2 linked regions of the Danio rerio genome follow. The main gene of each other region encodes a partner of the protein of the gene in region 2 in a complex. Links are inferred from orthologs where the notes say so. Each region holds a gene or a part of one and is shown on either strand. Other genes may lie near its edges. The genes, in order: chek1 and clspn.

The links.
Region 1: the proteins of clspn (region 2) and chek1 are in contact, whole or in part, in a crystal structure (PDB 7AKO), measured with the Homo sapiens proteins. The link is inferred for Danio rerio from reciprocal best matches to the Homo sapiens genes CLSPN and CHEK1. Residues at the interface, in NP_071394.2 of Homo sapiens: Glu938, Leu940, Leu941, Leu943, Cys944, Ser945, Gly946; in NP_001107593.1 of Homo sapiens: Lys53, Lys54, Cys57, Met61, Arg129, Thr153, Val154, Phe155, Arg156, Tyr157, Asn158, Arg160, Glu161, Arg162.

The regions. Positions count from the first base shown.
Region 1 is NC_133196.1:24,017,205-24,021,695, forward strand, and holds the start of chek1 (serine/threonine-protein kinase Chk1), read left to right. Parts: upstream 1-1,541; 5' UTR 1,542-1,771; intron 1,772-1,990; 5' UTR 1,991-1,998; coding exon 1,999-2,063; intron 2,064-2,148; coding exon 2,149-2,304; coding exon of another isoform or gene 2,305-2,372; intron 2,373-3,279; coding exon of another isoform or gene 3,280-3,344; intron 3,345-3,458; coding exon of another isoform or gene 3,459-3,472; coding exon 3,473-3,528; intron 3,529-4,491. UniProt on the Homo sapiens protein: Serine/threonine-protein kinase which is required for checkpoint-mediated cell cycle arrest and activation of DNA repair in response to the presence of DNA damage or unreplicated DNA.
Region 2 is NC_133194.1:50,563,934-50,567,760, forward strand, and holds part of clspn (claspin), read right to left. Parts: intron 3,364-3,827; coding exon 3,199-3,363; intron 2,822-3,198; coding exon 2,765-2,821; intron 2,672-2,764; coding exon 2,599-2,671; intron 1-2,598.

The sequences.
Region 1 (4,491 bases), on a different chromosome or scaffold from region 2:
GCTGTGTGTTTCTTTCCCATCGCATTCTCACATCACATGAGCTTTGATCTTTGGTGAACTCCAGCACCTCGCCTCGCGTCGCCTCCTGCTTCCTTCTCCTTACAAATATGTCATCTATGTCTCTGGATAAAGGAGGTCTTGCTTTCTGAAATGTACAAATTTGGAGTGAATTCATAAAAGCTCCATTCATATAAATGTCTTTTCTATCTTTCTACCTTCTCTCTTTTACTGAAGACAAACTTATGTTAATGTCTATCTAATGTTGATAGATAGATAGATAGATAGATAGATAGATAGATAGAAAGATAGATAGATAGATAGATAGATAGATAGATAGATAGATAGATAGATAGATAGATAGATAGATAGATAGATAGATAGATAGATAGATTTCTCTTTGGGCACATAAAATTTATGTATAATGAAAATGTTTTACTATAGTTACTATAGCATAATATTATAAAATAGTAGGCCTATCATTGTATACATTAATGTATAGTATATGCCTGTCTGTTATGATATAGTAGGCCTGATTGTAAGGTTATTTATTACTATATGACTATTAGAATTATTATTGTATAATTATTATGACGTTAATATATTCAATATAAAACATGTAACGTTAATAATGGTCAACACAAATAACTCACCAATGCCACTGAATGTGCAGGTCCAGTAATTTCGCGACACCGAATCCTGCTTCTTTGGGCTGTCAACATTGTTAATTTTTTTCTTACCTTATTTATTTAGGTTTACCCTTTAAATGGTTTACTAATTTCTGACACTCAAGACAGCTTTAGAAACGACCGTCTAACACTCAATAAATGAAGTTGTGTTTACGGAACTGAAGTGATGTTGCCATAACAACGAAAAAGGACCACTTCGATACATCAGCCAAAGAGCTTAGAATCACTCTATGCTCTTTGCATCAGCCTATCTGCGCCTCCCATGTGCGCCTATAGTTATGTGATGATGATGATAATTATGTTAGCTTATAATTGTAAAATATTATTTTAAATATATCGAAATGCTAGAAATAAACTACTGCCGTGAACTTTTGCCCACTTATTGACGGGCTTTTATGTTAGAAAATAAAATAAAAGCCCCTACATAAACGGTTTATTTCATGATTATTTCTTGTGTTCTTCTTATTTATAAATAATAACATGAAAACGTAAAACGCATAAAATACTTATCATATTCATCTTTTGCTTATATAGCTAATGTTAAATACTGCTGTTGTATACATTAATATGACAGTTATAAAAAACTAAATCAAAAAATATTTTTACAGTACAATTCAAATGAAAGAAACACAACAGGGATATAAAAATCTTCTTCTTCTTTTTTTTTTATATTTCGCATGTTGTGGTTGTTCTTAATAATTCTATATAACATAATGCTAAAAAGTTTCCCAGTGATGGGTTTCAGCTGGAAGGGCATCCGCTACGTAAAACATGTGCTATATAAGTTGGCGGTTCGTTCCGCTGTGGCGACCCAAGATTGACTATGCCGAAAAGAAAATAATTGAATGAATGAATAACGCAAAAAGTTGTCCCTCATGTTAGCGGTTTAAGCTTTTATTTTGAAAATTCTTTCCTCTTAGCATTTCCGATGATGTCACGTCTCTAGAAGGCGCCAAAGTTTGGACAGACGCTCTTGTATTATTATGTCTGCATAGACACTTATCAAGGGGGTGTGTGATTATAACAACAAATTACATTAACAAACCGCTTCACATGGGACAACGTTACCTCTGATATACGCGAAGGTATGTTTGTTTTAGCTAAATTAAAACTAATATCCGACAGCCCAAAGCTATCAGATTTGACGTTTCACTGTTTACAATTGCCTGCCCCGTAACATTTATCATGTTTACTGTTATATTTATTTACTAAAAACTAACATATGTCCTGTAAGTGTTATAGTCTATTAGCTTGTTATGCTGATTTGCTTTTACAAGGTTGTTCTGACTGACTTATGCCCACAGATTGCATAATGGCTGTGCCTTTTGTTAAAGACTGGGATGTGGTACAAACTCTTGGAGAGGGAGCATATGGAGAGTAAGTGACCAATGCACTTCATATTCGTTCCATCTTGATCAGTTGCAGTCTTAAAATTGTATTAATCTGCTTCAAATCATTGTAGGGTGCGACTGCTGGTCAACAAGAAGACAGAAGAGGCTGTGGCGGTGAAAGTTGTGGACATGGCAAAAGCCAAGGATTGCATCGAGAATGTGAAGAAGGAGGTCTGCATATGCAAGATGCTTTCACACCCCAACATTGTACGTTTCTTTGGGCACAGGAGTGAGGGGACGACACAGTACATCTTTCTGGAGTACTGTAGCGGAGGAGAGCTCTTTGACCGAATAGGTAATTGAACATTTTGGGTTCATTCAATAATTGTTGCATCCTTTTTGTTTTTGAGTCGTGTAGATGAGTCAGGGTTCAACGCTGGGGAGTTTTTCTACTGGTCTGATCGGGCCAATGATTCATATTTTTACTTGCCCTGACAAAAATTTTTACAGGCCCAAAAACAAAAAAGAGAAGTTAATAGCTTTTTTTTAGCCACATATTTTAAATAATGTGACATAAATAATGTCTGTGAATCTAGAAAATAAATATTTATAATGAGCAAAATTCTCAGTGTTGTGCAAACAAAAAGAGCAGTACGGAAAATGTGCAGGTTTTTTATTGCAGTTTGAAATTATATAAAAAATGGTGGCCGACTTGTAATACTGACGGCAAATTGTGCAAAACATTACTTCATTTTTCTCATGTTGTACCCATGTAAATGTCTGCTTCTAAGATGTTAAACACAGACATTTTCTTTTATCCTTATATTTTGATGTTGCTGTCACTTCACCACTGGTTGTTACCAGGTTATGGGGAAAAATATAGCATGCTCAATACACAAAATCAGATAAGAGCAACCAAAAAACAATATGGTGTTTACGACATCACAGAAAAGGTAGCATTTAAAGACTTAAAAACACAAACTTAAAATGCTTGCATTTGACCAATAATCGCAGGTCAATTAAGCTTTAGTGACAAGGCAGCACTTTCCCAATCGTAATGATCCTGTCTACTATCCCAAGTGTCTCTCACGCTGGCCCCGGGCCATCAGGCAGTCCTTGTTGTTGAGCCCTGTGAGTAAATCAACTGTAAAAAAAACAAATGTTCCCATCCTTTGCTTTCTTGTCAGAATTGATTTATTAAAATAAAGGCATTAAAATACCTAAAATTTATCTAAAGTATATTTTGTCAATCTTTCTGACAGAACCGGATGTTGGGATGCCAGAAAAGGAGGCGCACAGGTTTTTTCAGCAGCTGATAGCTGGTGTGGTAAGATTTGTGATCTTTTTTTTTTTTTTTTTTTTTTTTTTTATGGTGTATTTTGAGAACCATTTACTCTTCAAAGTTGACTTTGTTGTGAAACTTGCTCCATCTCACTTACAGGAATATCTTCACAGTGTTGGGATTACACATCGTGACATAAAGCCTGAGAATATTCTTCTTGATGATAAAGGTACGTCTGAATGGTATTTTTATACAGGATAAAATGCAATGTTCCACATGGTGTTCGCGGGGTCTTAAAGTCCTAAAATGTTTTAAATTTCCAAAGCTAAATGTTAGGCCATAAAGTCTTTAATCTATTAAAATATTGTGTTGTAGGTCTTAAATCTTTTTAAACAGGTCTTAATTTTCAGTTGTTTATAAATAGTTACCCAATCTGGCCATTAACATCCATATAATCACCAACAATCCATCTTTTATTTACAAATGTCCTGTTTAACTCCATTTACCATAATTGTTTAATTATTTTCCTAATAATAATAATTATTATTATTTAAAAGTTCCACTTGTATTTACTGCTTAGGACACTAACCTGGATGGACTGTTTTGCATACATTTAGTTTATTATAATAACTTTTAAAACATTTGTCCATTTTTCAGAAAGTCTATGTTGAAAAAAAGAGTGTTTGCAGCTAGAACTTGCTTGTTTTGACACAATATTTTGCTAATAGATATTTAAATTTGTTATTCAATTATCATAGTATTATTAAATTATATAATTTTTTATAGTGCAAAAATAAATATTTTTTTTTATCTGGGCCATTTAAAAAATTCTTTAGGGTTTAGCCCTGTATGAGTCTAAAATTTGTACATAATGGTCAAAATGTCTTAAAAAGTCTTAAATTTAACTTGGTGAAACCTGCAGAAGTTCCAGCTTCACAGATAAATTCAGCAGCAATATCCATGACACAAACACACACAGAAAAGCATTTTATTATCGATGTGCTGATATGAAATTGCAATATAGTCTGCTTTGGAGAGCTGGGGGTCTGTTTGGATTGTCAAATAAATTAATAAGCAAAATAAACAGTCCAGTAAAATTAAAAATGTACTCAAATTAAACTGGGCACATTACTATAGTAGTAGATCAATACAGACTAAACTAACATAAACTTAATATTTTTCAAATATTGTT
Region 2 (3,827 bases):
CTAAGGAGGATTATTGTTTACCTGAGAGCTGTTCTCATCTGCAAACGCTGAGATCGGATTCGCTTGTAGTATTCTCTTCATAAAGACGCGGCTCTAGATGCTGTGGATTGTTCTGTCTCTACAGATTTGGTAAGTGAGCGACCAGTGCTCTTTGTTTTTTCAGTTTGTTCGTATCAAACTAAGTTAATTATTGCACCGTAACATGTTAGGACCACAACCAAACTTTAACCTCGTGTAGGGTTTTTAACCGCATTTAGTGACCGGAATAACACACGCGGCTTTCTGACGCTACCTGCCGTGTGCATCTAAGTTTCCGGGAAATGCTGAGGTTTTTTTTTCTCTCATTCGCCGTGCGGTATCAAACATTGCATGAAAAATACACGCTTAGAGCAGATCCTCGAATCAAATATCTCGTTTGTTGTGAGGGACATGAATGAATTCCCTGAATGAAAGAGCCAAACTGCAGTTAAAGTCCACCATTTAATCATTTGGCAAATAATTCGACTACAGATGTCCATGTAGGTTAAACACCATCACTTTCTCCTGTGTGTGAGTATTTTGACTGAAACTCGCGCGTGCCCAAATAGACACTCCCACACCCTCCCACTTTTCTTCCTCCGACACTCCCCCCTAAACAGAGCTGGACACGCCCACTTTTCTGACTTTTTCCAAAGTAGAGGTGTAAAAAATACCCTGCTGAAACGAGGGGGTTTCATGGCCCTTTAATAACAAGCAATACATTTTTTTTTTGCTTTATACAGTTTAAGGTGCATATTAGGAAAATAGAGATGGTTCAGAGGGGAAATAGCATGGGGGAAAATGGTTCTTGTGTCTGGCTGCTCATGTACACAGTGCTCTGACGATCTGTGCTACCTCATCAGAATGTGCTACCGGTAGCTCAATCTGTCATATTTCATCTAAAAAAACAGGGTTAGCACATCATGTCTATCAGAATGAACTACCTCCTTAAAGAAAGGTGTAAAAACAGGGGTAGCGCATTTTGTCAGCTTCAAATGTCAATCGGAACGAACTACCACTCTAATAAACAAATTAAATATAAAACTAATGAAATGAAGGCAGTAGTTCACTCTGATGGACAATTAAAGCTGCTATGCCTTTTTCTACATTGTTCAATAGAGTAGTAGTTTTGATAGATATTTGAAGCTGACAAGATGTGCTAAACCTGTTTTGGTAGATGAAACATGACAGATTAAGCTACCGGTGGCAAATTCTGAGAAGGTAGCACAGATCGTCAGAACACTGGTCGTAAATATCCTGATGATATTTACCAGATTAACACAGAATTTGGAGAAACATTAGTGAAGTAGGCTTTAATTGTCATTTCAACTATATACAGTTAGTACACAGTAAAACGAATCAATGTGCCTCCGGGACCAAGATGCTCCATACAACAAATTTACAGACATACATGAACTAAAAAACCTATGAAAGACTAAGAAAACTAAGAAACAACACACTCACAAAGAGCCTATGCAAATGTGCAAGCACAGACAAAGTGAAGAATTTTTCTAATAATTAATTCCTTTAGCACAGTGTTTCTCAACCATGTTTCTGGAGGAGCACCAACTCTGCACATTTTCCATGTCTCTTTAAACAAATCACACCTGATTCAGATCATCAGCTCATTAGCAGAGACTGACAGACCTGTAATGACTGCGACAACGGAGACATCCAAACCATGCAGTGTTGGTCCTCCAACAGAAACACTGATTTAGCAGACCCTTAAGTCCAATATCACAATAAATATACATTTTAAAAGGATTTACACCAAGTTAATTATTCCTAAACATTTAGCAATGATTCTTTCAGCCATCACACGAGTCATTAGACATTATTATAATATTACCATGTTGCTTATTAAACATTTTATAATATCATTAACAATGCTGAAATATGTTATGCTTATCATACTTTACTATATAAAGTTTGCAAGTAACTTCTATTCTTAATCTTTAATAAAAAATGTCCAATAAAAAGGTCATTCTGAAGCATGTTAAGTTAATTTTAATAGTAATTAGGCTATTGTTGTCATCTATGAATTTTCAAATGTACAAGAGAGACTAGAAAAATTGGGGAGCCTAACATAATTATTTTTATTATTATCATTGTTTAATTTTTTATTATTTAAATGGCCAAATTCACACTGAGAAGTTGAATGTGCTTGTCAGTTTGTTATTTGCCTAATAAATAATAATAGACTACAGTTTTTGTGTTTTTTTTTTTTTTTTTTTTTTTACAGTTTTTAACATTTAAGGTGCTTCATACTTGTATGAAAAGTTATACTTATTTCCATATAATGTGGTAAATATAAAATAACAGAATTTTAACTTTAAGTTCTAGATAAATCAAATGTGTTTGTGCTGAATATGTTCATTTATTTTTCTTTTTGTTGAAACAAATGGACATAACTATCTTACTGACCCAAGCTTTTGAACAGTAGTGCAAGATTTGACTGGTTCAACTGCATTTATAACATTTTAAAGGGCAATATTAAAACTAGATGTGTAAATCTAAATTATTTTAAACAGAAATCAAACATTAAAATTGCATGCAGATCAGATGTGACCGCTGACTGACCTCGCACCAGTCTCTGACTCTCACTGTGAAGCTGCTTCATCGCCTCCTTACTGGCTTTCGCTGCTTTCCGCTCCTAAAAACATCATTAGGAAAAACTAATAAATGATTCAGCTACATCACACAATGAACACGATCAATGAGGAAAGCATCATTACAATAATCTCACCTTGCGTTGTGGCTTGTTTTCTTGTTCCTCGTCTCCACTGCACTCAGACAGATGAGGCTGTAAATATTCAATTATAAAACATAACCTTCAGTAAAGCTGATTTGTTTAACCCGTTTAAACAAGGACAACTAAAATTCTGTGCTAACTTTGTCTATTTTTTGCAAATTGTAACTTTTAAAAAAATTTAAAGTAGTGACCGATTTCTATGTTAAAATGAGCAAAACTAGTTTTGCTTACTGACCATTTACACTCATGAAATCAGAATTTTACTACTCATAAATAATGAGTAAATTCACAATATACATTTTGAGTTCCAGTCCTAATTATTGCAGTTAAAATATGCATATAAAATATATGCATAAAAAACTACTTGCAGTTCTGTCTTGGTACTTTGTTTTCACACAAAAAGTCAAACCAAGAAAAAGTTTTCTTACTTTATACTTGGCCTTCTTTTTCACAGCTGATCGGATGGCATCCAGAGACTCTTCCTCTTCTTCTTCAAGCTGATGTTCAGAGTCTTCCTCTAACTGAGCATCAAACAGGTCAGAGTCTCCCAGCAAACAGCCGCTGTCATTCAGAGCTTTGACTGGGGGAGCATCCTTTAAATAGGAAAAAGTCAAAATGAAAATTATTAGGGCTGTGCAATTAAAGGGGCAGTTCACCCAAAAGTGAAAAGTGTGTCATTATTTTCTCTCCCTTTACTTGTTCCAAACCCTTTCAAAATCTACATTTAGTCATTTGACAGATACTTATTTCCAAATTGCCTTACAAGTGAGGAGACATTCAGCAAATCTACATGAGGCAGTGCTAAGAGAATTGTGCTCAGATAATTAGGTGCTAGAGTCCGGGAGAGATTTTTTTTTTTTGGAGAAGAGTCAAGTCTGTTTTATAGGTGGTTGGTCAAGCCCACTTAATTTCTTTCTTTAGTTCAACACTAAAGATACTTTAATAAAGCTGGAAACCTGTATCATTTGATTTCCATATTAGTAATACATACTATGCAGGTCAATGGTTACAGGTTTTCAGCTTTCTTCAGAATATCTTCTTTTGACTTCAACAGAAA